Linked DNA regions of Mus musculus: all the other regions are reported to be linked to region 1. Evidence: microRNA targets listed by miRTarBase, many of them from high-throughput screens and not tested one by one. Region 1 holds a microRNA gene; each other region holds the end of a gene's coding sequence.
The links. Region 1 holds the annotated microRNA mmu-miR-137-3p (UUAUUGCUUAAGAAUACGCGUAG, at 2,369-2,391, shown strand). A microRNA usually pairs through its seed, bases 2 to 8, with sites in the 3' UTR of a target mRNA and lowers its output. Matches are read on the target gene's strand: a 7mer-m8 pairs with bases 2 to 8, a 7mer-A1 pairs with bases 2 to 7 and ends in A, and an 8mer does both.

Region 1 (9,829 bases):
AGTTCTGGTGGGAGTGCTGCAGGCTGTCCGCTTGGGCTGAGCTGTCCACTGGTCCAGGTGCTGAAGTGTGGAGCATTTGGTATGTAGGGAAAGGGCTGACTCTGTTGCTTGGTTAGGAAGAAAACCTATCGCCTGTCTTGTTCCAGATTTTTTTTCTTAAAGCATGCTAGTCTGTGGGTCTCTCTGTGTGTTCTTGTGTGTGTGTGTATGTGTGTGTTCTTGTGTGTGTGTGTGTGTGTGTGTGTGTGTGTGTGCGTGTGTGTGATTTTTCTTGTAATCCTGATAAACTAAGGGAAAGAACTTGGAAAGCATTGAAAAGCTGTGTGGGCATTTATGCCATGATTCTACAGCATGAGGAGAACGTGTGTATGCGAGGTGTGTGTATGTGTATGTGTGCCTTGACCATGCTTCTGACTTGAAAACCATTCCATTTAGTAAATCAAATCCTATCTGTGCAATGTGTTTTGTTTTCCTTTCAGAGGCAGTTGAGATTTTAAATAAAAGAGTAAAGAAGGAAATGCACACGTTGCTCATAGACTATTGCCTTACTTCCCCTAAGGGCTTTTGTTTCTAGGAGTTCAGGCTAAAGGGAACCTGTCAGCTTTCTTGATTTTTTTTCTACTGGTTGTAGTACCAGAGAAAAGCTCCATTTTATATCTATATTGGGTAATGGCAGAAAATAGTATTTATTAATTGTTTCACTGGCTTGAATCTTTTGGTAAATGGAGTTACCTAAAAAGATAACTGCAAAGATAGGCTATAGTCGGTGAGAAGTACTATTTTTCTTTTGAGTTATTTCAGGCAAACATTAAATCATAAGACCTGGAATTCATGTTGGTTTTTCTACTTGTAAGTGATGTGTCAGGAAAAGGATGAGTTGGTCTACCTGGAGAAGTGTTATATCAAAAAATAATAATGAGAGCAGGTACATCCTAAGTACCTTAAATTACAACCAGGTCAGTCAGAGATGAGTTGTGGTGGTGGGAGAGACTGTTACATAATTACTCCTTGATGGAGAGCTATTTGCACTTACATAATTTCAGAAATCATGTCTGTTGCCATCTTTCCATGTTCCTCCCCTCCACTCACACAGATGTACTTTCATGTATTTGAAAGTAAAGCAAGAAACCAATTGAGAACTTTCTAATGGAGCTGCAGCATGTCTTGGGTGGTGGCGTTCCACTGGTCCATTTTATTTAGTGAACAATACCCCCCTCATTTATTGGTATATCCACTCTAGGGTCTTAAGACAAAGCTGCTCAAGTAAGAGCTATGTAGATCACCAAAGAATGGGGGATTTTTCTCTTAATGTCAAAATTAGTCACTTTGAGAATGAGTTTTTATTGGGTTTCCTTCTTAAAATTATTTACTTAGGGCAGAGCTTCAAAGGGCTTTCTGTCAAGGTGTTCTCAACCCTGCACAGTGATGTATTCATAGTGAGTACTGAAAGGGTGGGCTGAGAAATTAAACACCCTGGCAGTTCTAAATGACCCTTAAACCCTAGAAGCTCAACCAGCTTGTCAACTTAGTGAGTTCAGAGTATGGAAAATGGGTTTAATTATTTTGTGCCTCGAAGCTGTTTCCCTCCCTTTAAAAACCATTATGTTGTACATAGCTCTAGGGCCTTCAATGGGGAGATGCCTATGTTTGCAAATCTATAAGTATTTGATTTCAAGTAATAAATTGAATGACTGCTTATTTTCTGTGAGAACATGCATTTCCAAAACACACTGTTGAAAATTCCATCAATGCATGACCCTATCTTGATCTGAGATTCACTTCTTCCTAAAGCCAGCCAGGCAAATACATTTGTAATATTTGTGTGCTTAACTATGCATGTCTTCTACAGGGTCCGCTCGCTGCCATGACACTCAATCAAAGCACCTAGAGTGAGCTGGTCATGACCAGAGTCCGCATGAAGCAGAGCAAATACCAAGGAGAGCGCTGGGTGACCACCAGGTAAACTGAAGGTTACTTATCGCTCCCCAAAGATCCTTGGCACATACTCTCTGCTCCGCGCGGAAAGAAAGCACTTGTCTGTTGTGTGTTAAGTGGTTGGTCCTGTGATTTGTCTTTCAGAATTGGAAATAGAACAGCCATTTGGAAGATCTGGGCAGGAAGCAATAGAGCACAGCTTTGGAGCCTTCTTTAGGGAAATCGAGTTATGGATTTATGGTCCCGGTCAAGCTCAGCCCAGCCCTAGCCAGGGGCGGGCTCCGCAGCAAGAGTTCTTTCTGGCGGCGGCGGCGGTGGCGGCAGCGGCAGCGGCAGCAGTGACAGCGGTAGCAGAGGCAGAGGCAGCGGCAGCTTGGCCCTCTGACTCTCTTCGGTGACGGGTATTCTTGGGTGGATAATACGGATTACGTTGTTATTGCTTAAGAATACGCGTAGTCGAGGAGAGTACCAGCGGCAGGCGGGCAGCGGCCGCCCCTCCCAGCCCACCAGCTGGCCACTAAAAGCTCCCGGTTGCCAAGGTAGCACTTTTTATGTTTTCTTTTCCTCGGGTGGTTTCGTTCTGGATCTTCCTGGCTCCTCTGGTGACCCAGACCGCTTTTAGAAGGAAAAGGGGCGGGGGGGGGGTGCGCGTCGGGGTGGGGGGGCGGGGGGCGAGGCGGAGGAGATGGGAGGCGGAGAAAGGAAGAGGGTCTCTGAAGCCCGGGCTGTGGGGCCCTTTGAGTAGTCTCTCTCTCTCTCTCTCTCTCTCTCTCTCTCTCTCTCTCTCTCTCTCTCTCTCTCTCTCTCTCTCTCGTAGAGGGCGGGTTGGCAAAGTGCGGATCTGAAAGATTCTCTAAAGTTGCAGAGGATTAAAAGGCCTGGACCAGTTTAGCAGCATCTTTGAGCGCTGAGCTAGAGCAGGGAGAGGGTCGCCTGGGGCATGCCTCAGCCAAAAGGGCGTGTCCGTGTGCGAAGGTGCCCCCCGGCAAGCTTGTCCAAGCTCGTGACTTCGCAAATCTCTGGCCTGGGGCGGAGCTGGAGCCCCACCCGCGACCCGCCGAGCTGCTCAGCAAGCAGACATGGAAACCTTGCTAAGGAAGGGGCGGGGAACAGGGGGCTGGGTCCCGGTGGAACTTTCTGATTACAAGTGTTGTGGGTCTCTGAGGAACCCCTATTTTCTTTTTGGATTCTCCGCGAAGATGTGGAGAAGCAGGCTGGTAATGAGATTGGTTGCACTGTGGCACAGAGCTGGAACCTTTCTGAAAGAGGCTGGGGCAGGCAGTGACTGTTCAGATGTCCAGTTTCTTTGGGACACTTCTCCAGCGCTGCCTTCCCTACCTCTGCCTTTGGAATGAGTCTCAAACATCAACAAAAATCAAGATATGTTCTCAGTCTCGGGTCTGCAGCAGAGTGATGAGAGGAAGAGAAAATCCTCCACTCTTCTTGTCTGTTTATAATGTTAATGGACCATAAAGCAATGTGGATGGGTCCCCTCCTAGCGAGGAGCAAGCAATCGCTGGCTCGATCCCTTCCATCACGCCGGGGCATTCCCGGGGCAAGCGGACTTAGCAGGAGTTTAAGGTGTTCCTTGGAGCCGGAAAATATGGTCCATCGTGGTGGAAGGCAAGGGCAGAGGCTCGAGAACTCAACCCTAGCTGTGAGCGGACCTCTTGGCTGTGCAGTTTGCTTTTCTTACTCTTTGGAGGCTGCGGGTTCCTTGGGTGCTTCCAAGGTGGGAGGAGAAAGCCTGGGAAGAGAGTGATTCAGGTTCCCAGAAGGTTACCAAGGCGGATAGACTTTAAGACCAGTTTTCCTCCCTTGCGCGTTGCCGGTTGATTTTGCTTGAGGGAATGGCTGCGAAGAAGACTGAATTCCAGAGAAGTCGAAGCTGCTGGAGAAATGAAAGCATCTCTTTCTTATGGGGTTCCCGGGACCCATTCTAAGCTCAGCAGCGCCCAGACACTTTCTTCCTCTGGAGTATTTGTCATTCACCTTTCAGGACTTGAGGTCTCTCTACTGGGTCCTTGCCTTGAAGAGCAAGCTGAACCCCCTGAGAAACTGCAAGAACCCTGGAAAAACAGCCTTTCCCATTTTAGGTCTTTCCCTTTCTTCCAGCGCTAGATCTATAATGATAGATCCCCATGCCAGACCTCTCTTTTCCTCTCCCTGTCCTTATGTGTCTGCCCCCTGAATGAGTCCCAAGCAATCTAGACTGATAGCACTTGTATTGTAGCTATGTTGATAAGAGGGGAAACGGGTGTGGTCCTGTTCAGACTCCTGGGAATGAGCCCATTTATCACAATGGGGTGAAGAAGCAAAAAGAAGCTGTCTTTGCAGGCAACATTCTGTCACTACTAAGAAAACTAACTATGTAACTAACATTCTTTCCTTCATTGTTCCAAGAACTGCCTTTCTTAGGGATCCATCAGTTGGTGATTAAGGGCTTTTAAATATTGTGCTCGTTAAGTATCTAACCACATTCAGTGTGTCTATGGGTGCTGTTGTTTCCCTGGAAATTAAAAAAGTAGAGAGAATTGGTGTGGACTAGCTGCTTGCTTTGCCTGGAAAGGTAATCTCATCTGGTTGACTAAGTGTGGAAGGTTTCAGGGCAGACATAGCTGAGGGACTGGTATTGGAAGGAGAAATGGAAGATGTCATATTCCATCATTTGTTGTGGGAATAAGCAAGCGCTCTCTCTCTCTCTCTCTCTCTCTCTCTCTCTCTTTTGAAAATAAGCTATTTCATTCAGTTCTTCGGCACTGGCGCTTCAGCTCATGATTGAAATCGCTTCATAAATGAATAATAAGTTTTAGAGTGGGATAATAGGAATTGAAAGAGAAGGGAGCCTTTCCCCATGCTATGACAAACGAAGTGTTTTGATTTTCTTCTGATTGCATGGTTTAAATTTTTCTCTTGAAGACTTATTTACTTATAAAAGTTTCCATTAGGTGTCAGTCTGACTGAACTGGTTTCTGTTTTAGATTATTGGGGCAGGGCCATTTCCCCAATCCAGGCATTGAAATAAAAGGGGGGGGGAATCAAATCAACCCAAACTTTATTAACTGCACATGAGTGTGATCAGTTGTTTTTGTGACCAGACAGCCTATTGTTTTAGATCAGAGGCACAGTTTTTAAAATTACATCACAAGTAGCCGCTCAGTGCTTTTACACTATCTGTATTTCTAGGCAGCAGGAAAGAAGCGCAAAGAGATTGTTGGTGGGTTTCACATTAGAATACACAGACACTAAGTAGCCACAATCATTTTTCCATTAAGGCCCACGCTCCAGAAGAATAGGCACCATCTTTATAATATTTGCTTTGCCTTAAGAAATGAAGAGAACTTCTATTTCCTTAAGCAATTGTAGGTATTGCTTAGACTCTTTGTTTGCTGGATAACATCACTTCTGGTATAATGAAAAGAAATGGGAAAAAACTTACGAATGTTTCTTTCATCATTAAGTTTTCTTTAAATAAGACTCCCTAAATGCTCAAAAAAGTATAGCCTCAATGCATGGTTTGATGATGAGAGCATTGGAATCCATGATGTGTGATATCATCCAGGGTGTATGATATCTGTGAACACTCAATTCACACTGTAATACATAATATTCATAAACAGGTGTAAGAAAGATCATCTTGCTTAATTGTTTGCTACTAAATCTCAGGTAAGGTGTCTGAACGACACTGGCCTTTACATGGGACTTGCTTATTTTCTCTGTGTTTACGTATTGTGTTCTGGTGTTGCTGCAGCATGTCAGGGAACTTGAACTCAGGACTAAAGATGCAGACGTCCATGTTGATTCCTATGCTAATTCACTAAAAAGAATTTCTATTAGTGACTTTCACAAAATATACTATTCAGTAACTAGTTATACTCCGGGACCAAGCTATTTTCTGAAGCCATTGTCAACCCTAGAACAAATACCTGGTATTACACCAGTGTGAATCTAGAACAAAAGCTCCTGACTACAGTCTAAACAAACAAAAGCATTGAGCAAGTAGCATGGTAGAAGGGGAAAATTCCATCAATTTTTTTTTCTTATTATATTTCATTTTGGTGATGGTAAATTTTTAACAGAAGAAATAGAAAATGGATGTGAATGTGATGGGAAGGGTAGGAAATATTTTTGTACTTTGTGTAGAACAGAAGAAAAAGATAGGCCATAGAAGAGATAACAGGAAAGTGAGGACCACAATTATTCACCATCTTCTTGACACTAAACTGCTGTAGCCATCTTTGTATTAGAAATGATAAAATGCTATTTTCAGAATTCTAGAGAGCCATGCATTCTACATAGTAAGTTTGCTTTAAAAACATTACTAATCACCTCAGAATACTTAAAGCCTTTCTTAGTTGTAGGTACTTACACAATTACAAACATAAAGGATAAATAAGTTTTAAGTAACACAGTCTTCTCCGTGTGTGTGTGTGTGTGTGTGTGTGTGTGATGTTTGTTTTCTCCTAGGGTACTTGTATGTTGTATCATTACTTAAAAGCCTTGAACTGAATTGAGGAATGCTTCATAACACTTTGCACAATGCTGTAAAATACACTTTTCAGCTATAAAGCATAACAATCAATACACAAAAGTGTAGGACAAAAAGAAAAATCAAAAAGTTTTACATTTCCCTGAAAAGTGTTTTGAATTCATTAATTAGTTGATTATTGAGTAAACTAGCAATAAAAGAAACACACTATGATATTTGCATTGCTGTTCAGGTGTCATTATCTGCAACTAGTTATATTGCAAATCAGAATTCTGTTATATCCTGATCAATTATGATATAAGTTAACTAAGAGAACCTGATCTTCAAAGGTTACATTATTAAATTAAATATATAATTATATATATTAAATATATAATGATTAAGTATATAATGATATCTGTACAAGCATTCTAAGGTATCATACTATATGTGTATGATAAAATATACACAGTATCATAAAATATACACATATATCAGGATGGTTGAAATCAAAAGTTTTTTCAAATCTAAAAGTCTACCCTTCCACTAATTCAATACTCAATTGTAAGAATGTAAAGCAAGCCTTGTAACATTTGTTTTGCTGCCTTGAAATTAGTCCTGAATCTCACCCGCTAAACTTCAAACTAAAAAGACAGAATCATAATCTAGTTAGTAATACTCTATTCTTGATTCGTATGCAGTTTGTATCACTGCATACTTCAAAGAGATGGCAAAGTATATAGTGAAGGCAACAGTTACATAATTCAAAAATAGTACGTATTTACAGCTTGAATGAAAAATAGATGGTACGATTTTTGTCACAGTTGTATGTCATTAAAAATTAATAATTTCTTAACTTTTGTTCTTATCATTGTTATCCTACATGTTAATAAGTAATTAATGATGCCCTTTTTTTCTATTAAGCATGTATGGTCTACTTGAGTACTAGCTCAAAGAAGCCACAAATTTAAAGTTACTAATTAATTAATTAATTAATATTTTATCAGAAAGTATCATTAGAAAAATCATTTCCCACCTAATTAGAATATGTAGAATAAGTTTTTAAATTATATGGGTAGTTTTTTATATAAGCGTCAAAGCATTCATGTTATGGCATGATTCTGAACTGAGGTTTATGAATTTGTTTTCATATCTTTTATTTTAACAGGCTTTGATTGTATTTACAAAGCAAAGTAAATGAAAAAATTAAGTTCAAAGTTAAGTCCTATGGAAAGCCTTCAAAGACTTTTCTTTAATTCTTATCATACTTACCATAAGGAAATGGGATATCCTATGCTAGAAATGTCATTGGAGTAAAAACTAGAAAGTCTTCCTCTGAACTCAGACTCTATAATGAACAAGAATCTGGTTGCAATGGCTGCTTGATCCTCATTGGCTTCTTCAGTACAAGTTCTCTGCTTAGACTTTTTCAATGCCTCCCATTTCTAGGGCTTTCAGAATCCAATATAAAAAGCTAAAACCAGCCCTGTAAAACTTTTGTTTGAATCTTACTCTTCCTTTCACATATAGACGAAATGCAGATGAATTCTATTGCTGAGATGTTTCAGTGCTACTAAAGAAACATTTATATCAAACAAAGATTGATTCTCAAGATTTTTACTTAATTATTATTGCTTAATTATTAAAACATGAAGCAAATAGAAAAATTCCCAAAACCTTTTTACCCTGAACTTGACATTTATTCATATAAGAAAAATTCATTCTAATGTGTTATCTTGGAAGTTTCCTTATCTCTGTGACCATATGATATGCTAGACATTCCCTAAACAATAATGGTCTCAGGAGTATTTCTGCCTAATGGGTACAAATTGCAAGCAACTTTGTTCAAAGTCACAAATACACACACACACACACACACACACACACACACACATATATATATATATATATATATATATATATATAGAGAGAGAGAGAGAGAGAGAGAGAGAGAGAGTAAGTGAGTAAGCACTCAGGTTTGTAAAACATTTATACTCTTAAAATTAATTTTATTTTAAAAAGGGAGTACAATGTTGTTAGCCTCTTATTCTGTTTGTAGGATCAATATTTGTGTGGAAAATTTAACTCGAATATTATATGACAAACTTTTTTAGTAACTACTACACCATCTGACATATAGTAGGTACTCAAATATACATTAATTTACTGAAAGCATTTATTGTTTTTAGGATATATATCATAGTGTGTGTGTGTGTGTGTGTGTGTGTGCACTCTCGTTGATATCAGTGTCATAAGTTTCCCTTATCTGATAACATTGTAAAAGTAGCTATTTTATAAAATTGGCTTTGGTGTGGATTGCATTTAAGTTAAATGTTAAGATAAACTCTAATTCTCAAATTTGCTTACTAATAGCATAAGCAAAATACTAATTTTTCTCTGTCATATATCACCCTCATGTAATTGAAAATCTATAAAGACATTTTCTTCAAACTTGAATTCTTTGATAAATTCCAAATAACACTTTAATATACTATAATGGGAAATCATTTCATGTGTCCATCACCTCTTGCATTTTATTTAAAATTAAAATGTAACTACCTGTACTATTCATAATCTTTAACTGTCAATCAATATATATATATATATATATACACATAGTATAATAATTATTTCTCCATAGCTTAGAGATATGTACAATTATTAAAATGCTTTTTTATTACTATTTAGGAAAGCAGACTTAATTGCCACTTCTTTTGAAAGCTGGGACATTCCTGGGTATCCCAAACACAATAACTATAAGTTCACTCCTAATCTCAAAAAGTAAACCCGTCCTCTAAAAATGAAGACAATACACGTTGTCAGCTCTTATTTCGATCAGATCATTTACTAACTGTCCAAATGTCGGTCAATAATATTATAAACCATGTCCATTTAAAACATCGAGGATAGATTTTAAATTTTGCACAGAGTTTTCAGTAACAACTGATTTCACTTAGCTGCCTGGGAGCAGAAACATGAGGCTTTGAAGCCATTTGTTAGTCCTTATATCAGAATGTACCGGGTCCTTACTGATGCTGAATACAGATATCCGAAGGCAGCTGTAGAACTGTGTGATAAACAGACCAAAAACAGAGAAAAGGAGAAGATTGTATACCCCCAAACAGGATTTTGTTATCTGTGGATGTTATATTCATTGGAAGTAGTATCCAATGTTACAATTTGAAGACAGTGTCACATTTGGATAGGGAAATTTCTGTAGACAACAATTGAATTTGACAAGAGTTGAGGGACACAGGTCATGAAAACAATATTCAAGGTGTGGACTGCATGAAAGAATCTGCAGTTTGAGGTGACATATTTAACAAGACAAAGAGGAATTGCAGCAAGGGCTTTTATTGATAGGGTTAATAACTGGCATCAATACACCTTAGAGAAAACATGAACTCCAGGAAACTTTAGAAGCAA
Region 2 (10,534 bases), not on the chromosome of region 1:
TGGGGAGAGCAGGCTGGGCTGGGCCGATAGAGGGGTTGCTTTTCCTGTGTGGTGGCTCCTGAGTTGTTTGGTTATGGCACTGTCTTTCCAAACCTGCTCTTCCCAAGGCTCTCTGCCAGATTGGGAGAACTGGGAGATAGCTAGAGCTACTGCCAGGGTGAAGAATGCCTCTTCTAGGCACAGAGAGATTTAAAAAAAAAAAATCCTACAAGATGCTGGTTCTGGGGACTGAGATAAATGAATGACAGCCCCACAAAGGTGACCGGAAGGAAGGAAGGTCTACCCGAGGGTCAGTTTGGTGTCCATAGTGTCCTTGACACTTGGAGACTTTGGTGAGGCCAAGAAAAATGCTGGTGTGAAAGAATACAAGTCCAGGGTTGGCTCTGGGGTCCTGGGGAGGACAAACCACCGCTCTGGGGACCAGACAACTCAGCAATCCGAAACCAGAGCCCAGGTCATTAGCAGGAAACCAAAGTGCCGGGGTATCGAATTTCTAAAAGTGCCAATACTGGGCTGCCTGGGATCCTAGCACTGGTGCAGCTGGTGGTAGGGGCATGTGAAAAACCAGATGGCACCATCAGTCGGTACCCTGTTCTAAAGAATTCTTTCCGGTCCCCCTGGTTTTGTCTCCTATTCCTGAGGCTTAGACCAAAGCTGGGAGACAAGTCTTCAGTTTGGGTCCTCTGCACCTTATGGGGGTGGGGGTGGGGGAATGTGTGTGGCCTACAATCGCCCAGGGGCTGGTCCTCTGTCTAAGATCTCTGGCTTCTCAGCAGAACCCTGGTTTTTACTCCCTTTCTGTCTCTTGCAATTAAAGTCACATCGATGCGATGCAAATAGAGGACCTGAAAGGAAAAACAAAAACAAAAACAAAAAAAAAACCCAAAACCTGCATTTGCAGAGGTTTCTAGAAAAGGAACAGAACAAACTAGCAAAGTATAAACACGATCTTCCCAGAATCCCCACCTGCAGAGCCTGTGTCTGTGTCTGTCCAGCTCTAGGCCTTTGCTCCTGGCTAAAGAGAACAACTGTAGACTCTGGGGATCCCAAGGGGCATCTGAGCCTGGGAGCCTAGGACACTCAGCTTCGTCCCTGATCTGCCAGAAAGAGGAAGCCAGGATATAAACCTTGGGCCTGCTTGACTAACCACTCTAGTATTTGGTTGAGGACGAATTAATCCCTTCTACCTGGCATCCACAGGGCCTCAACCTCCAAGTCTTCACCTGGAGAGAAAGAAGTCCTGATTCCAAATCAAAGCCCTACTTTGACAATTGCACCATGGGATTCACACCAAAATTACAATCCTGACCTCTGAAGAATGGAAGCAGCCGATCCCCAAGCCGACCCACAATTTCTCTGTATCCGGGACTGCAGGTAGGGACACCTGAGTTAGGAAGAAAGGTTGTGTTCTGGGGCGCCAGCAGAGCTCAGGTTAACGACTTTAATCTGCCTGCGTCTGCGTACTGGCGCTTTCTACCACGGGGCCTGAAAATCGAACGCCCTTTACAGGGTTAATCGTGCGAGTGACTGAGGTCACTTCGTGGGTGCTTTCCCCAAGTGCACCAGGCCAGAGCGCGCACGCGTTCCCCCCTTGCAACGCCATCAATTTCTATCGTGGTTATTCTGTGTGCTTTGAACACCCACATCTGCAACATATATTTCTTGATTATACGCATCTTGATTATAAAACAACCGAGTGCGTTTTACATCCGGAACTGTCTCGCAAATGAAACTCCTAAATCCAAATTGGAAGGGACGTCCGCAGATGGAGCACACACAAGAACACGCAAACACACACATGGCTTTCTAACACCTGTGGGCCCCTGGGCTCGGAGTACCAGCATCCCACCGCTCCTTGTAGGTACCGACTTCTATGGCTTCATCTAGACAATATTAGGCCACTCCTGGGGGAACGCTGGGGGGGGGCACACAAATACTCCCCCATAGCTATTTTCTTGGCTGGCTGCCAAGAGCCCAAGTTTAGAAGCCGGCGAGGCAGAAAGTGTGCTGACGGCAAGGTTACAAGCGGTCTTATAGAGCCTCAAGGAGCCTGTCTGTTGGCTTAGGGGAAAGGTCAGATCTCTGGTTTTCCTCGAATGGAATTTTTTGAAAGGCCTCTACCTACTTCGAAACTTTCACCCATGCATAGGTGGATCTTAGGACAGTTCAGGTTCAGAGAGAGACTCTGTACAAGCCTACACACCGTACACCCCTCGCTAGTTACTACAGGACAACCTAGACCGGGGGCAGGGGGGCTGACTGCAGGGTCACGACCCCTGCCTGTGCCCAAGCACGCCCTTCGGCCCCTGCAATTAGCGCCAGGAGGTCAGGAAGAACCCGGACGCCTCTACCCACAGCTCTAAAGCCCAGCGAAGGTGACCTCAGCCCCTCCCGTCCGGTCTCAGACGCCAGCGCAGCCTGGAGCCGATCTTCCCCACTGGCGGGCTGGTGGGCGGGCGCCCGGAGGGTTCTAACCGGTACCAGCATTCATGACCTTATATCCACGGATCTCCAAGGCACTCCAGCCCTGCAGGTCCCCCAGCACTGCGGGGATGGGAGTCGCAAGGGGGGCTGGTGGTTGCAAGAACTCTGGTCTTCCTTTGTCCCTGTAGACGCGGCCGGGAGAAAAATAAGAAAAGTCCCAAACTTGGAGTTTATATAGTACAACAACAAAAAATCTGGACAAAGCGAAGTTGGTCTGAGTTGAGACTATGTGGGCAGATTGGTGTGTGTGTGTGTGGGAGGGGTGCGGGTGTCTCCTTTTATCTGCTACTCCTCCATCCTGGTTACCTCCTCCTGTATCTCCATATTTCCACACGGAGAGAATAAGGAACTACAGTCCCCCTCCTTGACTTTCCAAAAATCCCTTGGAAATCTCGTCTGAGGCCCACATAGGGATAGATGGAAGACTTGGCTCTTCTTCTGACAGTAGTGAGGTGGGGGCGGGGCGGGGTGGCTTTGGAGAGGGTATGTCAGACTGGGGTCGTGGGGGGGGGGTGCGACCAGAAAGGGGCGCAGAGGTGAAGACCTCACGTTCCAGAATCCAGAAGGCTCTGGGGTGCCTAGCCAGCCGCAGTTAGGCAGGGCGCATTCGTGGGTCAGACAGACAGGTGGCACTCGAAGCCAAGGAGAAAAAAAAAGGAAAGGGGAAAAAAAAAAAAAAAAAAAAAAACCAACCAACCCAGGCGCCGGCCCCGAGTGGCCTCCGCAGCCGCCGCCACCACCACCATAAAGCCCGCGGCGAGATTGCGACCGGCGCCAGGTGAGTAATAGGTACAGAAATTCAGAGAGATTGCGAGCGAGTCACCCCTGGTCCATCAGCGCCACAAGAGTTACACATTAACAGCACTATATATAAATAAGATACAGCGGAGATTAAAAGGAAAGAGGAAAGAAAAGAAGAGAGTCTGAGGAGGGGCCGGGGACAGGTTTGGGCACTGTCCCCAAATTTGGGGGATGGAGGAGGAAAGAGGGAAGAAAAATCCGACTGAGAAAGCCAAGCAAGTTTGGTTTGATTTGGTTTGGTTTCTGCTTTCTCCGCAGTTTAAGCCGAGCTATTTTCTCCTCAATTTGGGAGCTCGCGCAGCCGGAGGCCATGAGCCAACTACCACCTTCCCAGGGCGGACTGTGAAGAAGAGTTTTGGTCCCGAAGAGGACCGGCCTTTCCCGTCCCCATGTCCCCTTAAGCACTCTCCAGTCCCCTCTCTCCCGTTGTTTTCTCCTCCTCCCTAGACAGCTGGGGAGAAGCAGTGCGGGTCCCCACGTGCCTGGGCTAGAAAAGGGGGGCTTGCCCACCCCTCCAAGGTCTAGAGCTGGATCCTCTTCCAAACACAGGAGGGGAGAGGAGGGGCCCCCCTCATGACTCTCCATTCAAGAGGTGACAGGGACGTTGGGCCCGGCTGGCGGGCTCCGGGATGGGGGTTGGGGGCAAGTCAGCCGCCTGGCGGGCTCCAGCTGGGTCTTTGAGTCAAGGCCCCCAGGGCAAGAAAGTCCTAAGGGCTAACTCTAGAGTACCTTCCCTTGTAACCCCTCTCCAACACAACACACACACACACACACACACACACACACACACACACGCCCCCGAGAGGATCCTGGAGGGTGGGGAGACTGAAGAATGACAGGACAGGACAGAGGCTTCACTGATTGATTAATTGATTGATTGATATATGTATATATTTGAAAGATTCAAAGATAAATTGAACTTCAAAAAGATAGGTTGCCTAACTGACTCGGGACTGGTTAGGGAAATGAGATGGTAGCTTCCCCGGTGCCTTTTGCCTTGGGTGTTCCATGTGGACTCCGAAAGCACCTTGCCTCTCTCTCATGGTCACTGTGGAGCCCACTCCTGGGCCTTACCCACAGCCCTGAATGTCCATGGATAAGGGAGTCTGCTTGGCCTTTTCCTGTGCTAGATTCCGTGGGTGTAGCGGACCTTATTTATTTTGTTTTGTGATCCATGTCAGAAAAGGGAAAAACGAATTAAAAGCGAAAACCCCTCCTAGCTCTTATTTCCGGTCGGATTCCTGGGGGGGGGGGGGAGCCGACTTTGAACACAGGGTAAAAATCTTCTCCCATTAAAACTGAAGTATATGAAGTTCCTCTTTAGGAAACCTAATCAGGCCCCTTTCTTCTCCCGTTCTGCTCCCTAAATTAAAGGGAAAATATTTTCAAATCAAATGTGGCTCCCTTCGCCGGAGCAAGGGACTTGTTTTCAGCCTTTTAACTTGAGTGACATTTCATTTTAGGTTGCTGGGAGGGGTGGGGGTGGTCTTAATTATTATTTAGAGAGGAAGGGAGCAGACTGGAAGATCATCCTCGATCCGGCTCTGAAAGACAACTCTTGAAGAAATCATTACCACAACTTCAAAACTCATTTCAATAAAAATTTATTGAAATTTCAGTGATGTTTTTAAAGAGGGGGAGAATTACAGAAAACTCATCAAAGACTAAACACAAAATACTCCTTCTTGGGTTTTTTTTTTGTTTTTTTGTTGTTGTTTTTTGTTTTTTTTTTTAATTTTTTGTTTTGTTTTGCCTTTCATGGTCGTTTGAACCAAGTCCCTCTCAGTACACCAATCCAAAACACCATAAAGATGAACAATGAAAACCTCACATGGGTTAGTAAGATGCCAGAGTCTATGAAAAATTAGGACGGTTCTATGGTGGCCTCCGCAAGGCCGTTCCCCCCCCCCCCCTACTCACACAACAATCTCAACCCCTCTGGGGGTGTCAAGAGTTTAGGGAATTTCAAGTGGAGCCCGGAAGGGCCATTACCTCCCCAATTTTGGTGAAAATAGTTAGGAGTACTCCCGATCCCACCCCCTCCATCAGAAAAAAAAAAAAAAACTTTGCAGCCAGCTCTACTTGAAAGCATGGAGATGTGAATAAAGATGCCTAGGCTTGCTAGTGTGGATTAGCCATCTCCTGACCTGGAAATAAGACCCAAAAGGCAAAACAAGAATAAAACCTGACAGACACGCTCCTATTTACATCCAGCTATGTACAATTCAATAAATTAAAGTTTAACTTTCTGAGCAGTCATATTCCACCTATTTACAAGAGATATCAAATAATTACATAAATACTTTGTCCAATAGTCGTGTTTCCTCTTTATTATTATCTTTTAAAACCTTGTTATTGCATATACAGTTAAAAGAACTAATGGTCCAACAGGCACACGAAGCCCTCTACAAGCGCTCAGATAAAAATCAACTCGGTTGGTTTCATGCCCATAGCTGCCCCTTTTACCCCACTTCCTCCTGGTTGCCGCCTTGAGCAAGGTTGAGGATAATGGGACTTCCGTTGTTTTTCCATAAAAGGGGGGGGGGGCAAAATAAACCCAGAAAACTGTAACATGCAAAAAAGAAGCCAGCATCGGCTCTTAAAACATCACAATATTTAAAAACAAACAAACAAAAAAAGACAGGATTCCTTTAATATAGATGGGGCAAGGTAAGGCCCCTCTTCTCTCTGCCCCAACGAAAGTACTCAGCAATTGGTGAGTTTCAGTCTTCATAGACAGTTCCACAGGACTTCATCTCCCCCCACCTCCATATTGGTTTTGTTAGTTTGTTTAGGAGGGGGGATGTTTCCACTAAACACACGAAGGGGGAAAGATTCCGGTGAAGTCTCTCAAAGACCCGCGCTCCTGGCTGGCCTGGCTACCTTGTTCTTCAGCCCCGACTTCCATACCAGCCTGCACAAAAGTCGCTCTAGACACAAAAGCCTGTTTGCCACCACTCCTCCCGCCCCCTCAGTCCCGCGTTTCAAAGCAACAGCAGCCTGGTTACACAGCCCATGGTGGCAGGGCCTGTGGTATCTAGCATAGTCTCTGGAAAGGCTTTAGTGCTCCCTCCCAGACAAAACTGAAAGGGACAGGGCGGGGGTCACCCCATGTGGAAGGCCCGTGGTTTATTTTACATCTAACAAAGTGCACTGGCAGATTTGACCAAACTGGAATGGAGAGACCTTGGGGGAGGGGGCGATTTTGTTTTTCTTGTTTTTAAGGGGACCCGCTGCAAGACCTGTCTGGCTTGGCTTCCAAGCCACTGACCAGCCGCTGGATACTCTGCAGTTCGCTGGTAGCCGCCTCCTTCTCGGAGCAGAGTTTGGGTGACAAGGACACTGAGCCAGAGGACAGCGTGGACGAGCGGCTGTTCAGTTCCGACCCCGAGTCCACAGCCACCGAGGCTGGGCTGGCTGCCAGGGCGGCCGCTTTGCCGTCTAGGGGCCCCGCGGCGGAAGCCATTGATGGTAAAGCTGTGGCCAGCAAACTGCTGCTATCCGGCACTGGGACGGGGATGGAATAGGGGCTGTAACGCAGCCTGGGGCGCATGCTGTTCAAATTGAGGAACGGGTGGCGGTGCACGGAGCTGGAGGCGGCCGCGGTGGAGGCTGCAGCTGCTGCAGCCATGTATGTGTAGGGGTAAGGAAACAGGCTCCCGAAAGGCGACATAGCCAAGCCCTGGGGAAGAGAGAGAAGAAACATAGGGAGTTAGAGAGTGGGGAACCCTTCTCCTCCACCGCCTACTATCTGGGGCAAACCACCTGTTTTGGAGGAGTGGAGGGACACTTTTCCTGGGTTGCATGCTAAACTAAGGGGTTAATAGACTGGAGAGTTCCGTGGCTATTAAATCTTCCACAATATGTCATCTATGGTGCCTAACCCTCGGGGCTATTAACAAGTTCCCAGGAGGGCGAGCAGCTGCACCTGTTGAGTGGCTTCAGCGAGGGCTTCCACCAAAGAGGCTAGAGTTAAATTCTGGTGCACACAGTATCTTAGTATCTTCCATTCTCTACTCTAGATCTTTCCCAAGTAAGAAAATAAGAATGATGTGAAATTGGGTGGGTGGGTGGGAGGTGGAGTAAAAAGGTGTTACTTATTAAGATAGCAAGCGCCCAGCCTCGAAGGTTAGTTTCCAGGCAGGATACTGAGGCACTTGAGGGGGTGGGGCAAAAAGACCAAACAGAAGCAGAATTTGAATGCAAGAGCCCTGGGTGTGTCCTTTACCTGATGCCACTAGACTAGTCTGTTCTGGCTGCCCCTCCTCCACCTGTCACCTGCCTGTCTGGGGTGGGGGGAGAGGGCGGGGCAGTGCAGAGAGGTAGGGTTGGTGGTAAGGTAGAGGCTAGCCCTTTTCTCAGCTCCATCTTCTCCCAATGAGGAGGACCCTGTGTCTTTTGGCTCAGGCAAGGGAGATGAATATGCTCAGACAAAACAAAAGGTCGGAGTAGGCCAGAAAAAAAATACCAGAGAGGTTTCCTACTGGGTTCAGAGCCTTCTCCTGAGCACTTTCCTTGCACAGGCACAGCTGTCTGAACCTCTCTCTCTCTCTCTCTCTCTCTCTCTCTCTCTCTCACACACACACACACACACACACACACACACACACACACAAGCTTGCCAGCCCCTCCCTTCTTTGACATTTCCCACGTGTGTGCAACCCATTAACCCTTTAGAGATAGGCTGGGCTGTTTGGGAGTCGGGTGGAAGAGAAAGGCTTTGAACTAGCGAGAAGGCTTGCTCAACTCCAGACCAAATTCTCACCCAGGGAATCAGTGACCTCCCTTCCCCACATCTCTCCTGGGGGGGTAATAGTGGCTATGAGCCTCCAGTAAACCAAGTTGGCAGGAAGGAGAAACCAAAAGAGGTCCCTGAAGAGTCAGCTCATCCCAGGCTCTGCTCCACCAAGGGACCAGCTGTGTGACCTTAGCCAAGGGATTCAACCTCTCTGGGCCAGAGATGATACATCAAATGACCCAAACTTGTCACAAAGCTAATAGTGTGGAGCTAAGCTATTCACAGCCTAATTTACAAGAAGCAATTTAAAAAGGAGCTGGGGGTGGGGTGGGGTGGGGAGGGTAGGTTTCAAGAAGGCTCAGTAAGATAGATGCTACACCCTGCTGAGGGTCAATAAAATATTCTAATAGTTACTAGCATGGATTACAAGCTAACACTCCTAGTCAAGGGACTGGGACTGAGGCTGGCTTGGACCGGTGGGTGATAGGCGGGCAGGCAGGAAGCAATACCTGGGAGGCCAGAACGTGTTGTTGGAGGTGGAAGGGCAGGGTGGCAGCCGACGCCCCAGACAGTCCCTGCGCTGCGGCAGCCGAGGCCATGGCTGTGGATTCTAGGCCTGAGACGCCGGTGGATGCTCCGGATACTGTGGCCAGCAGGGGCCCCATGCCTGCAGCCATGCTAGAGAAGGCGCCGCCCATGGCGAACTGGCCCGGGTGCAGGAAGAGCGGGTGCCCGTTGAAGAACTGCTGGCCCGCAAGGCCTGGGGCGAAACCCAAGCCCGGGAGGGGCCCCTGCGCTAGGTGCGCGGTGGCGTCTGTCTGCACCGACAGTGGAGCGAAGGCGTCCTTGGCAGGAATCGCGCGCGCCTCATCCACCTTGGTGGCGACTGGACCCTCGCGCCCGGGACTCCTGCGCTCATCAGCTCCCGGAACTCGCGTGCTGGACGAGATGGTGGCCGGGCTATGGCGCGAGTCTGGCGATGCCTTGTCCAGACGCGCGGTGTCGCGGGCCCGGCTGGGCTCCGCGGGGAACAGCTGCGCCCTGGTTGCTGGGCTGCCCTTGTCGCGGCCTGGCTCCTCGGCCGTAGTGGTGGAAATCTTGGCCGCGTCGCAGGCCTCAGGGCCGTGCTCCTCCTTGCTCTCAGCCTCGGCGTCACTCTCGGCTTCGCTGGGACACAGATCTTGGGGAGGAGAGGAAAAGGCCAAGGGAAACGGATGGTCAATCTCGTTTCCAGGTTTAAACCCCACCTCCCAGCCCAGCACCCAGGAGCGATGCCTGCCTTGCCAACATTGGGGCGTCTGAGGCAAGGGGACAGCCTGACTACAGAGTGAAAGTATCTCAAGAACATGACTTCCCACTGGGCGGTTTATTGTCTATGTAACCCTGACTGCACCACTCCCAGACTTCATTTTCCCAGTCTGTAAAATGGGACGATGATAATGGTGATGTTGATACACTTTACACTATCAGAAGGAATCACAAGTGTTCAACCTTCTCCAGCCAGGCCCCCAACTGGCAGCTTTTCTTATTGTAATAATTCTACTTTAAAACAAAACAAAACCAGAAAGACCAGCTGCTTAGAGCCAAAGCTTTCCCTAGCATCTCTCTATTGGATTGCAAATTCGCTTTTTTTTTTTTTTTTTCTTTTAAGGACTAAACCCGTGACCTCAGAACTCTGCTGGAGTACTTTCCTGTTACCTTCAAAGTCTGGGGCTAGCCCAATCGACAGAGGTCAGGCACTTCCACAAATTTGTGAATAATTTGGGGAGGATTTGTTTGGAATGAATCCTGGCATACGAATGGGCATGGGCAGAAACTAAACACCCTCCCCAGGAGCCTTCTGTTCCTCGGAAGTTTCGTGGTGGGACAATCAGATATTTATTTATTTATTTATTTATTTATTTATTTATTTATTTATTTGCTTATTCATTCTTTTATTTATTTATTTACATCTCTCTTCCACCACACCCTCTTCTGTGGGTGTCCTCCCAGACCAGGGGAGGAAAAAAAAATTGAACCTCACTTTATGTTAAGTGTAAATGGATTGAAGACATTTAAAAAACAAACAAACAAAAAAAAAAAAACCAAAAAAACTTCCCTTTTATTTCACTTAAAACAAAACAAAAACAAAAACAGGTTTCTTCCTGTCCAGAGCTGTCTTTCTAAATAAATAAATGCCTCTTGCTCTTTAAACAGAAAACTGGCTTAGGAGTCAGCTTTTTCTATTCCTACCCTACCTCCCCAAAGCTGACACACACACACTCCCAGGGGACTATGCCTTTTCTTCTCCCACCTCCCTAGGTACCAGGTGGCTGAGGACAGAGGCCTTCAACAGACCCTGCAAAACCCAGGCTCACCCAGAATTCAGCTGGATACTGATGGCTGGAAAGAGGGCAGCAGGGAACAGAGATAGTTTGGACAGACAGAAGGACAGAGGGAGAGGTGCTTCAGGTGCTTTGTAAAACTGCCAAACTGCCTTGCCACCCACCCACCCACACACACACACACACA
Region 3 (10,534 bases), not on the chromosome of region 1:
GTATATGCTTTCATGCATATCCTCTTCCAGACTTTGTCTCTTAACCTCCCTTCAATACATCCCAGCCACACGGGCTCAGTGCTATCCTTGAGCGTGTGTATCAAGCATACTGTTCCCCAAGGCTTTTCCCATTTGCCATCCCCTTGCCTGAAATGCCCTTCCCCTAGACATTCATATGGCTTGCTTCTTCTCTTCTGTCTCTTAAGTACATACAACCTGTCACCTCATAGGTACTTCTTAGTTATTGCTGCTTTCTCTGTGACAGGTAACTGTGCTATGCTTCCAACAGATAACAAGGCTGGTCTCCCACAACTTAAGTTGTCGGAGTCAGTCAGCTAGGAAACAGAATCACACTTCGGAATCAAGCCTGTCTGCCCCTCAAACTCCTGCTTTCCCTCCCATACTGCTTTTCAACACAGAGCAGTGGAAAAGACTGTAGAAGCCAAATGACCCTGCCCAACCTATATCACTTATTGTACAACTGTGGAAGTGTTACTGGAGTCGGCTTCTGACACACACATGAGGTCTGAGTTAGAGTTGCTAGATCCACTGACATCTAGCCTCAGAGCCTTTGAAATCACGATTTATGCAGATACAAAGTGATGTTTCCAATATTAAGACCCTTCTTCAATGTTTCCAAGGAGCCAAACATTCTATACCCTTCCCACTTTATTCTCCACCCTCCCCTTCTTTCCCATGGTGCATTGCTTTCTGCTGAAGTGTATCACAGATGAATATGAGATCGACAGAAAGTGTGCAGGGATTCCCCTGCCATCAGGAAACATTAATTCAATGAAGTCCCAAGGAAGCCTCAGAAACTCTTTCTTCCTTCCTCCTTCCTTATCTGGGGAGGTGGAGTGGCCCCAACTGAAGGGATGGCTGAAAGGTGCTCGCTGCTGGTCTCAACAGCTTTGTCATCTCTCTTGCCTGACACAGTGATACTGTCAGCAGAAGCCCTGGCATTGCGGCGAGCCAGACAGGCACAGCGGCGGGCAGAGAAAGCATCTTTGCAACTGAATCAGCAGCAGAAAGAACTGGTCCAGATCCTCCTGGGGGCCCACACTCGCCATGTGGGCCCCATGTTTGACCAGTTTGTGCAGTTCAAGGTGAGAACTTAACCAGGATGTGACCTGGGTACCTGAGGAGGTAACCCACAGAAGAAGGCTATGCCCTGATGGAGAACAGATCTCCAGAATCCCACGATGGGCAGGTTCCTCAGCAAAAAACCTTTCTTAGATAAGCCTGGTGAGCCCTCAAGGGCAGCCAAGGCTGGGGCCTCTTACTAAAGCTCTGAACTCTACAGCCTCCGGCCTATCTGTTCATGCATCACCGGCCTTTCCAGCCTCGGGGCCCCGTGTTGCCTCTGCTCACACACTTTGCAGATATCAACACGTTTATGGTGCAACAGATCATCAAGTTCACCAAGGATCTGCCGCTCTTCCGGTGAGTAGCACATGGCCTTTCAGGAAGCAAGTGCTCGCTCGGTAAGTCAGACCGGTCTCCGATTAAAGACTGGTATGACATCCTTTAGCCTTCTGAGTGCTAGGGTCTTACATTTGCAGTGTGCCGATTGGACCTTTTTTTTGATGGATAGACCTAAGTCTAAAGTGCCCTTGTTTTCTACCCGACACAGGTCCCTAACCATGGAGGACCAGATCTCCCTTCTCAAGGGAGCGGCTGTGGAAATATTGCATATCTCACTCAACACTACGTTCTGTCTTCAAACAGAGAATTTCTTCTGTGGGCCTCTTTGCTACAAGATGGAGGACGCAGTCCATGGTGAGATGGTAGAACGGTCCAGGGTATGTATCTCAGTGGTATGAGGTGTGGAGCAATGGCCAGGAGGCTCCTCAGTCTACCATCTCTCACAGCAGGGTTCCAGTACGAGTTTTTGGAGTCGATCCTCCACTTCCATAAAAACCTGAAAGGACTGCATCTCCAGGAGCCTGAGTATGTGCTCATGGCTGCCACGGCCCTCTTCTCCCCTGGTGAGGATCATCCCAAAGCTGAGGAACTCTGGCCCCTTCCACCTCTACCCAACTCTCGGTCCCTTTAATCCTTCCCTGACCTTCTAGCTTTCAAGCCTAAGCAAGGGTCTATCTATACCATCCCCAGCCCCTATACAATGTGAGGCCCCCATCTGTGGCCCCTGCCACCTTGCCCTTCCCAGTCTCCTCTCTCAGACAGACCCGGAGTTACCCAAAGAGAAGAGATAGATCAGCTACAAGAGGAGATGGCGCTGATTCTGAACAACCACATTATGGAACAACAGTCTCGGCTCCAAAGTCGGTAGGGAGGAAGGAGGCAGCGGATTCGGAGGCTGCGCCGGGGGTAGGAAGGGATCTGTGAAACACTGAGCTCCGGATGGATGCATTTTACTGTTGTTTCCTTTGGGAAACCAGGTACTTAGGAATCTAGACCTTCCCTCGGACCACCCCATCCATCGCACACAGTATCCAGATTGCTCAGACTGCTGTGTTGTCTCCCTTTTCCAAGTTGTTGGCTCCTGTTGTTGTTTTCAGTCAGTAGAGATGCAAAGTCGTAGCTCATGGCCTGGGTGTGACAGCTTTCCTGAGACTGGTGACATTCCTTACCTCTCACCTCTCCGACTTTTCCAAACTAAAGTCAAAATTTCAAAGTCTTGTTCATTCTTTTGGCCCGCTCCTCTCCTTTGGGTCAATTCCTTGAAGTTTTAGGTCCCCTTGAAATTAGGATCCGTCACACTTTCACGGACAGAGCCTAGTTCAACAGTGCAGGCTCAGACATCTATGCCACCTTCGCTCTGCTCATTCCCTAATGAATCCGTTTGCTACGAGGGAGATGCTTTATACTATAGAATAACACAACCGCCTTCTAGAACTGGATCTAGAAGGCCTCACCTTCAGATTCTATACAGTTGACGTTTTGGCCAAGAACTTCTTTTACACTTGACCTCAAAGCCCTGGGTTCAGGAAAAACTAGGCACAATGAAGGAACAGTGTTGATAGAGGCCCTTCTTGGGTATGTCTGAGATTTTCCAAGATGTAGCTCCAGAGCATCTGCTGCTCAGACTTAGCCTCTCTGAGGAGTGGTCCAGGGGATAGGAACCTCAGGACAGGACTCCCAGCTGCCTTATTTCCCTGGTAACCCTGCTCCTTCCTCCAAAGGTTTCTGTATGCAAAGCTGATGGGCCTGCTGGCTGACCTCCGGAGTATAAACAATGCATACTCCTATGAACTTCAGCGCTTGGAGGAACTGTCTGCTATGACGCCGCTGCTCGGGGAGATTTGCAGTTGAGGCCCAGGCTTGCATCCTTTCCCCAGACCCCCAGGGATACACTGGCCTGGAAAGGGTACAGCGCTGGACCCCACACGGGAACCAGCAGGAAGGAGCTTGGGAGTGGCAATGAAATGCTGAACAGTCACTGTCTCTTAGTGCACTCATCAGTGGGGCGTGGAGTGGGTGGGGGACAGAGAGAAGGGAGGTGGGCAACCACAGGGCCAAAGTTGTTCTCCGGAAACACAGGGGATGGGAAAGATGGAAGCCTCGGGGCTAGGAGGTGACTAGAGTTCCTTCTGGGAATGGGTGGGCCCATTCTTTGGTCTTTCTGTGGCCAGAGATTTAACTCTTTAATCCTCCCTTCCCGAGGGAAGGAGTGGAAGACTGAGGAATGGAGAAACCAGGAGAAATGGGATAGGAGGCTTTTTTTTTTCTGCTCCCTCTTTCCATGCAGATTTCTCTGCTTTGAAGAAGGAGTAGTAATATCTCAATCAAACAAAAATAACAAAAAAAGTAGGGTGAGGGAAGCCAGACACATCCCGTAGTCCCTCTCCTTTACTCCAGAGCCATACAGCTTATGGGAGATTATAGTGGGGCTGATGGCAGTATTGGGAACCTCAACCCGCTACCTAACTGGAAAAAATGACTCTCCGGCAGTTCTGGTTCTGAGGAGGACATCGTCCTGTCCCCCCCACTCTGCCCATGGGACCTAGGAGTCATCCGGCAAGGTAGGCTCTGGAGAGGGACCAAGTTAGTCTCTGGCCCTAGGGTATCAGACTCAAAGGTTCCAGCTGCTGCAGAGGCTGCTCCCAGGACAACCTCAGCCCACAGTGATGCTGAAGCCGCAATGGAATCTGTTTCGCCAGTGATTGAGGAAGGCTCCAAGGGCTAGGGTGACAGGCAGGGGACGCATCTTCTTCTCCAGCACCGCACCAACACACCAGTTACTGTCCACCAAGCCTGCCGGGGAAAAGTATATTGACCCGGTTGATTAGCCAGACTTGGAGTATGGAGTCAACAGAAGTAAGGTAGAGCCTCCCTCCCTGCATGTCCCCAAATCCCTCACCACTTCTAAGTGTCTCAAAACCCTCACCTCTAAACACCATATCGGCCTGGGGCAGAGTCAGGTGGTAACCAAAGGAGAAGGTCGTATCTTGTAGCCTTGTATTTGCCTCAAACTCTACTCCAACCTGAACCTGAGAAGCAGGGACAAGAACGAGAGGAGGACCCGTCGCCATGAATCCCACAGGAGTTCTGGCAGGGTATAAGCAAGCTGGAATGCATGTGTGAAAATGTAGACCAGATGAGGCCAGAAAGAATCATAGGCCAGAAGCCTGGGAAGACTCGAGGGGCAGAAGGTTCTGGTTGACTGACTCACTAGGCTAAGAGATGAGCTTGGTAGTCTTACCTGTTCATTGGCCTTGTGGTAATAACTTGCATGGGCCCCACCTGACCCAACATTCAACGTAGCTACCCAGTGGACAGCTGCAGGGTGGGGGAGAACAGAGGGAAAAGGCAGTTACCATCGTAGATACAGGCAAAGGAACCCCAGAAAAGCCCCGAGTCTCTCCTCCTCACCATCATTCACTTGATCTCGTACCTGAGTACTTCCCAGCCAGAGTCAAGATGGCCCCCTCTTCTCCTGGCCGCCGGTGATAAACTAGCTCTCCTCCTAGCACAAGCCGATGGGTGATGCTCTGCAGGAAGTGAGCAACCATGATCACTGTCAGGGAGAGAGGATGCAAGAGTCAGGGAGTCAGGTTTAGTTTCTTACCATCTGGTCATTCCCACCCTAGCCTAGCCAAAAAGGTCCCCCCACCCCCAGAACTCCGTCCCAGTTCCCCACCTGATTCCCCAATCAGATCCGGATTTCCCAGGGTCAGAGTGGCTGTGTAGTCATCTCCCCGATACTCGCCATCAAACTGCCATGTCAGGAACTTGGCCTGCTGTGTCTGGGTGGGGAGAGTAACAAATAAAATACCCTTCTCTCTGTTTATATTCAGTATTGCCTCTGCTCCTCCTCCCCCTGCGTCCCCCAAGGCAGGATACCCATGGAGGAGAAAGAGAGGTGCCTCGGTGGATGGAGGCAGGAACTGTGGGTCACCTGGAAGACAGCCTTAGCTCGCAGCCGTTCTGCCAACAGAAGCAAGACCTGGGCGTTGAGACTGCCACTGCTGTCCATATCCCCCACCACAGTGGGGAACACCTGTTAGGGAGCGTAGACAGGAAGGCTGAGATGGGTAGGTAGCTCTATCCATTGGCACATGAACAGGAAGGGATTTCAGTAACATCTCACAGTGCCCCCTGGTGGACGCCAAAGACAAACTCGGGCAGCTTTGCACAGGACTAGCTCGCGTTCAGAAGAGGCACTGAGAACATAGTTGCTGATCACACACATTTCCAAATTCTCAAGACCTACGTCCATGTGCGTTTTACACAGTTGACGCGAGTGTGGGGGAGCCCTCACCTCTGTGGGGCTAAGCTGCCAGTCCCCTGCATAGGCGGTATGGAGGTGGTACCCTGGCAAGCCCAGGGCACTCATGTGCACAGTATGAGCCACCTGAGGAAAGAGGAGACAACGGAGAACAGAGCATTCTATTTCGTTTCAATCCCGTCTCCCACCCTTGACCTTTTTTTCCATCCAGAGGGGGCTTTTTAAAACCTCAACTATTCCAACGCATGCAGAGGGCCACTGGACTTTAAGCAACAAGTCCCACATCTTGTTGCTTAAAGGCATTGGGGGGGGAGGACCCCACACTTCCCCTCATTTGTCCCACATAGCCTAGCCAAGACAGGACTAATAGGTGTAAAGAGGATCCAGAGACAAGCAGGGAGGAGGGGGGTAAGTAGGGGCCAGACCAGTGGGAGCACCTGGAAATGGCTGCTCAGAACCTTGTTGACAACCAGCTTCACGCCTTCCATCTGTGCTGGGAATACATCTGAAGGGAAGGAACATGCACAGATAAGGACCCCTAACTACATAGACGGACTCCCCTTTCAATTGCATATGAAGCACTGGAGGAAATGACCTCCTTTCAAATCCTGCAACAAAACGCTCTGCTTTGAACATCTGGTCCTTTTTGACTGCCGGATGCTCCAGCTGTGATCTCCCCTCGCTGTTCACATCACTGGACATCAGCATTCAGGACCCTCCCCTTCTCTATGACCCTTCATCCTGAGACACCCAAAAGCTGCGGTCTCACCTTTGCACAACCGGTGCAGCTCGTCGAAGCTCCCGGGGTTGGGCAGCGGTTCCTCTCGACGGTGGCTCCGGCGGGGTAAAGTACCCATCGGTGCCAGGCCCAGGGTGTTCCCCATTTTAATCCAGAGGACAGGGAGGGGTTGGGGTTAGCCTGGGGATAAAATCTATTGCTCCCTCTATCCCCCACGGGCTCCACCCCCCATCATCGGGCTCCCCAGTTTCAGAAACTTCCATATGGTTCAATGCTAGACCTGCAATAAGGAACAGTAGGGGGAGAGAACACCGATGCTAAAGTTGAATCCCGGGCACACTCCCGCCCCATCGTTGATCCCTCACCCCCACCTGTCACCCCCGTCTGCTCTCCCATTATCTAGTCTTAACTACTACCGCAGGCTTCCGCTGACTTTCTAGTTTCTCTGTTCTTCATTCCCACGTCCCAAGGGTCTGCCCGCAATGGAACACTAGCCCTTACCATCTCAGACCATCCTGCAGCCTCTTTCCCCCTAGGCACACCCGGTCATCTTGATGGGGGCAGCCATCTTGAGTAATGGCAGAACTGCAGCTTCACCCTGTATTCCAAGCATGTCCGTAGGCGCCATCTTGGAAATGGGCAAAGGAAGCGCCCAAAGACCCAACCCACTCAATGATGAAAAAGGTGCCTCAATTTACTAGTGACCAATAGGAGAGGAGAAAACAGAAGAGTGGCAGGCCTGCAGGCCCCAGGGCTTCAGTCCGAGTGCAGTGGCGAGTGGGAGTTTGTGGGTGGCCCTTTAGACGTTAGTGGAAGGCCCCCTTTTAAGACCGCCCAACCTCCTCAAGGTCGAGATAAACTCTTGAGCATTCAAGACACTAGAGGGAGCATTTTGCCTATTAGACCAATGGAGTTCCTTAAACCGGAACGTGAGAAAAGTGAAACTATAGTTTGAAGACCTATTTTATGAATATATCACACTCAGGGGTTGTGAAGACGTGGTTCACTTTACCCTCCACCTTCCTGAAAGCCGGCTGGAGAATCCCCACAACTCTCCACTCTATACCACCTCCAAAGGACTGCTACTCACAATCCAACCCCCCAAAACAGACCTCTACCGCCCCCCGCCGTCCCCCCTTCCCCCGCTGGAATTCACAGGCCTTGCCTTCCCGGCGTGGTGGCGCAGGCGGATTTCTAAGTTCGAGGCCAGCCTGGTCTACAAAGTGAGTTCCAGGACAGCCAGGGCTATACAGAGAAACCCTGTCTCAACGACCCCCCCCCCCCAAAAAAAATGACTGTGAGAGTTCTGAGGGCGAGGAGAGAGTTGTGGGCAGAACTAGCTTCCGAAGCAGCTACCCTCTCTAGTTATTATTTACATGGAGAAAAGACAAATAAAATCTAAGAATACAACCGCAGCCTGAAGTTACGCTCCTCCCCCCAGGGCCAGGGGCAAGCAGTGATGTGACACTAGAGGTAAGTCCACAAGAGGACAACTGGAAATATGCAAGATTGCATATGCAAGGGTTGAAGAGATGGCGAAGTGGGTAAGAGCAGTGACGAGGCTGGTGAGGTGGCTCAGATGCTTCCCCAAAAGTCATAAGTTCACTTCCCAGCAATCACATAGTGGCTCACAACCATCTGTAATGGAATCTGATGTACCCTTCTGTTGTTTGCATTTATACATGCAAAGAGAGAGAGTCGTGTGTGTGTGTGTGTGTGTGTGTGTGTTTGAGAGAGAGAGAGAGAGAGAGAGAGAGAGAGAGAGAGAGAGAGAGAGAGAACTGGCTACTTTTCAAAGGATCCAGGTTCAAATCCTAGCACCCACAACTTTAATTCCAGTTCCAGAGAATCTGACACTCTTACACAGATACACGTGGAAGCAAAACACATAACTAAAATAAACAGATTTCTTGGTCTTCGGTTGCACTCTCCCTCCCTAGCTTCCACACTTCCACCCCCGTATCTCTCACTAATATTCCAGTACACACAGGGTAAGCTTGGTGGCAAAAAGGTGAGTGATAGGAATGTTTTCAGTAGCTACTGAGTTGACTCCACTGGAGAGCCCTGGGCCTAGCGAATGTACCTCTGTCCTTCCACACAGTTAGAACTGGGCCAGGGGCCAGGACCTAACTGATAAGGGGATCAAGTGTCCAGGCCCTTTGACCTTGATTTGGACAGAGCCTCTTAACTACTGAGGTTGGGAGCAGGAGGGCAGAGGCTATTTTTCTGAATTTGTTTTTTGGAGGCAGGGAGCACACATTGATGAGAACCCATAAATGGACTTGTATTTCATGATTATTTTAAAGGAATTTCATTCATGAGACCTATCAAATACAATAATTCCAATGCAGCATTTTCTCTGTGTGTCTTTTGTATGTCCGTGAGGGGTGTGTGTGTGTGTGTGTGTGTGTGTGTGTGTGTGTGTGTGTGTGTTTGTGTGTGTGGTGTTCATGCCCCCTTCCTATCTCATTACACATTAACTCAAAAAGGGACAGAGGCAGTTGTACCTGTTCTGACTTATATCTTCATAACCCCCATTCCTTTCCACCTCCTATTTCAATTCATTTCCCTTCTTCCTCTTTCTTCCTCTTTCTTTCTTTCTTTCTTTCTTTCTTTCTTTCTTTCTTTCTTTCTTTCTTTCTTTCTTTCTTTCTTTCTTCCTTTCTTCCTTTGAGACAGAATCTCTCTGTGCCGTCCTGAGACTCACTATATAGATCGGGCTGCTCTCAAGTTCACAAAGACCAATCTGCCTCTGACTCCCCGGGGCTGGGATTAAAAGCTTGTGCCACTGTGCCTTGCTCCTTTCTCCTTCTGTTCCCAAATTCCTCTCTGCCAAATTGCTATGAAGGGGTGAAGGGTTGGGGAAATGAAACTTGTCCATAATAAGGTAAAGATGACGAGGGCTAAGAGCTGCATGTTGGAGCTTTCCAGAAAAATAACTTAGAATCCTGATTACCTGATGGATACATATAAACCCATCAACTCCTGATCCCAAAAGGATAAATCATAAGCAGACATTGGCCTTCACTAGAGTTTATGCCCCTGTGGTTCACTGTGACACCAAGAGTCCCTTTTGCTTGTCCTTTTGTCCATGTCTAACCCTTGTTTACTCCAGCCTGATCTCTGCCCTTCTGGACTTGCCATTCTCCGTATCACCTGACGGGGTGGGGGTGGGGGAGTATATGTGTATATAGCCCCTACCTCCAGTCAAGCCCAGAGTAGACGGGAAGGACTGCAGCACAGAATCGGTATGCTGAGGGAACAGAGCTGTGGGTGGGCAACGTGCAAAGAGCATGGGACTTTAATTGTGGAGAGGGAAGGAGCTAAGTTAGAGTGAGCATCCATCTGGGTGGGGGGGAATCCCTGCAAGGGGCTGAAGCCCCTCTGACGGCAGTGTTCTTTCTCACCAGCAGCACTGTTCCTAGGCCATAGTCTGCCATCATGAAGCTGCTCGCAATGGTCGCACTGCTGGTCACCATCTGTAGCCTGGAAGGTGAGGTTTTGATACGGGGGAAACCAAAGGAAAGAAGGTACTGAGAGTCTTGGCTGCCCAACTCTCTTGTGCTTCTTGTATAGGTTGAGTGCATCAACCAGTGGACTCAACAGGAAGATTATTCTCTTTCTAAAGTCCAAAAACCCAAACCAACTCAAAACCACCAACAGAAAATACGTAGCAGGCCACCAATTTGGGGAAGGGGCTAAAAGCTGGGGTGGGTCCTGTGGGGTGTGAGGGGAGACCGGGATTCATTGCTGGCAGTCTACATGCAGAGACTGTGATCTATGTTTGTGTAGGAGCTTTGGTTAAGAGACAGGCAGACGGACCGGATATGCAGAGCCTGTTCACTCAATACTTTCAGAGCATGACTGATTATGGCAAAGATTTGATGGAGAAGGCCAAGACCTCAGAGATTCAGAGCCAGGCCAAGTAAGTCTCTGGGAGAGAACTCAAAGGGCTACAGGACTGCTTCAGGGAGGGAGGGAGGGAAGTCTCCCAGGAATCTTAACTCAGGGGTTGGAGTTAGGGATGCTCAGGCTTAACTTGGGGAGAAAAATCCCTTCCTTACCCTAGATGAGGGCAGCAAGAGGTGGACCTTGGACTCCAG

Region 2: the mRNA of Tbx3 is a reported target of mmu-miR-137-3p. Seed matches in the 3' UTR shown: 7mer-A1 at 5,638-5,644.
Region 3: the mRNA of Nr1i3 is a reported target of mmu-miR-137-3p. The part of its 3' UTR that is shown has no 7-base or 8-base seed match.

What each region holds. Positions count from the first base shown.
Region 1 is chr3:118,431,533-118,441,361 of GRCm38, forward strand. It overlaps Mir137 (microRNA 137), which reads left to right and starts at 2,325; the gene lies at 2,325-2,397.
Region 2 is chr5:119,679,064-119,689,597 of GRCm38, reverse strand. Tbx3 (T-box 3) reads right to left here. Exons shown (of 8, transcript NM_011535.3): 7 at 8,533-9,203; 8 at 4,874-6,967. The coding sequence ends at 6,506. Tbx3os2 (T-box 3, opposite strand 2) reads left to right here. Exons shown (of 3, transcript NR_040416.1): 2 at 1,201-1,374; 3 at 3,544-4,510. Among named protein-coding and RNA genes, the nearest start is that of Tbx3os2, 6.9 kb to the left of the region's middle.
Region 3 is chr1:171,215,443-171,225,976 of GRCm38, forward strand. It overlaps Nr1i3 (nuclear receptor subfamily 1, group I, member 3), which reads left to right. Exons shown (of 9, transcript NM_009803.5): 4 at 937-1,106; 5 at 1,304-1,443; 6 at 1,634-1,779; 7 at 1,872-1,988; 8 at 2,184-2,289; 9 at 3,147-3,403. The coding sequence ends at 3,276. It overlaps Tomm40l (translocase of outer mitochondrial membrane 40-like), which reads right to left and starts at 7,072. Exons shown (of 10, transcript NM_001037170.2): 1 at 6,933-7,072; 2 at 6,462-6,711; 3 at 6,130-6,197; 4 at 5,726-5,818; 5 at 5,363-5,464; 6 at 5,105-5,210; 7 at 4,859-4,981; 8 at 4,667-4,743; 9 at 4,352-4,454; 10 at 2,361-4,218. The coding sequence starts at 6,576. The coding sequence ends at 4,079. It overlaps Apoa2 (apolipoprotein A-II), which reads left to right and starts at 9,612. Exons shown (of 4, transcript NM_001305549.1): 1 at 9,612-9,679; 2 at 9,845-9,924; 3 at 10,224-10,356. The coding sequence starts at 9,873.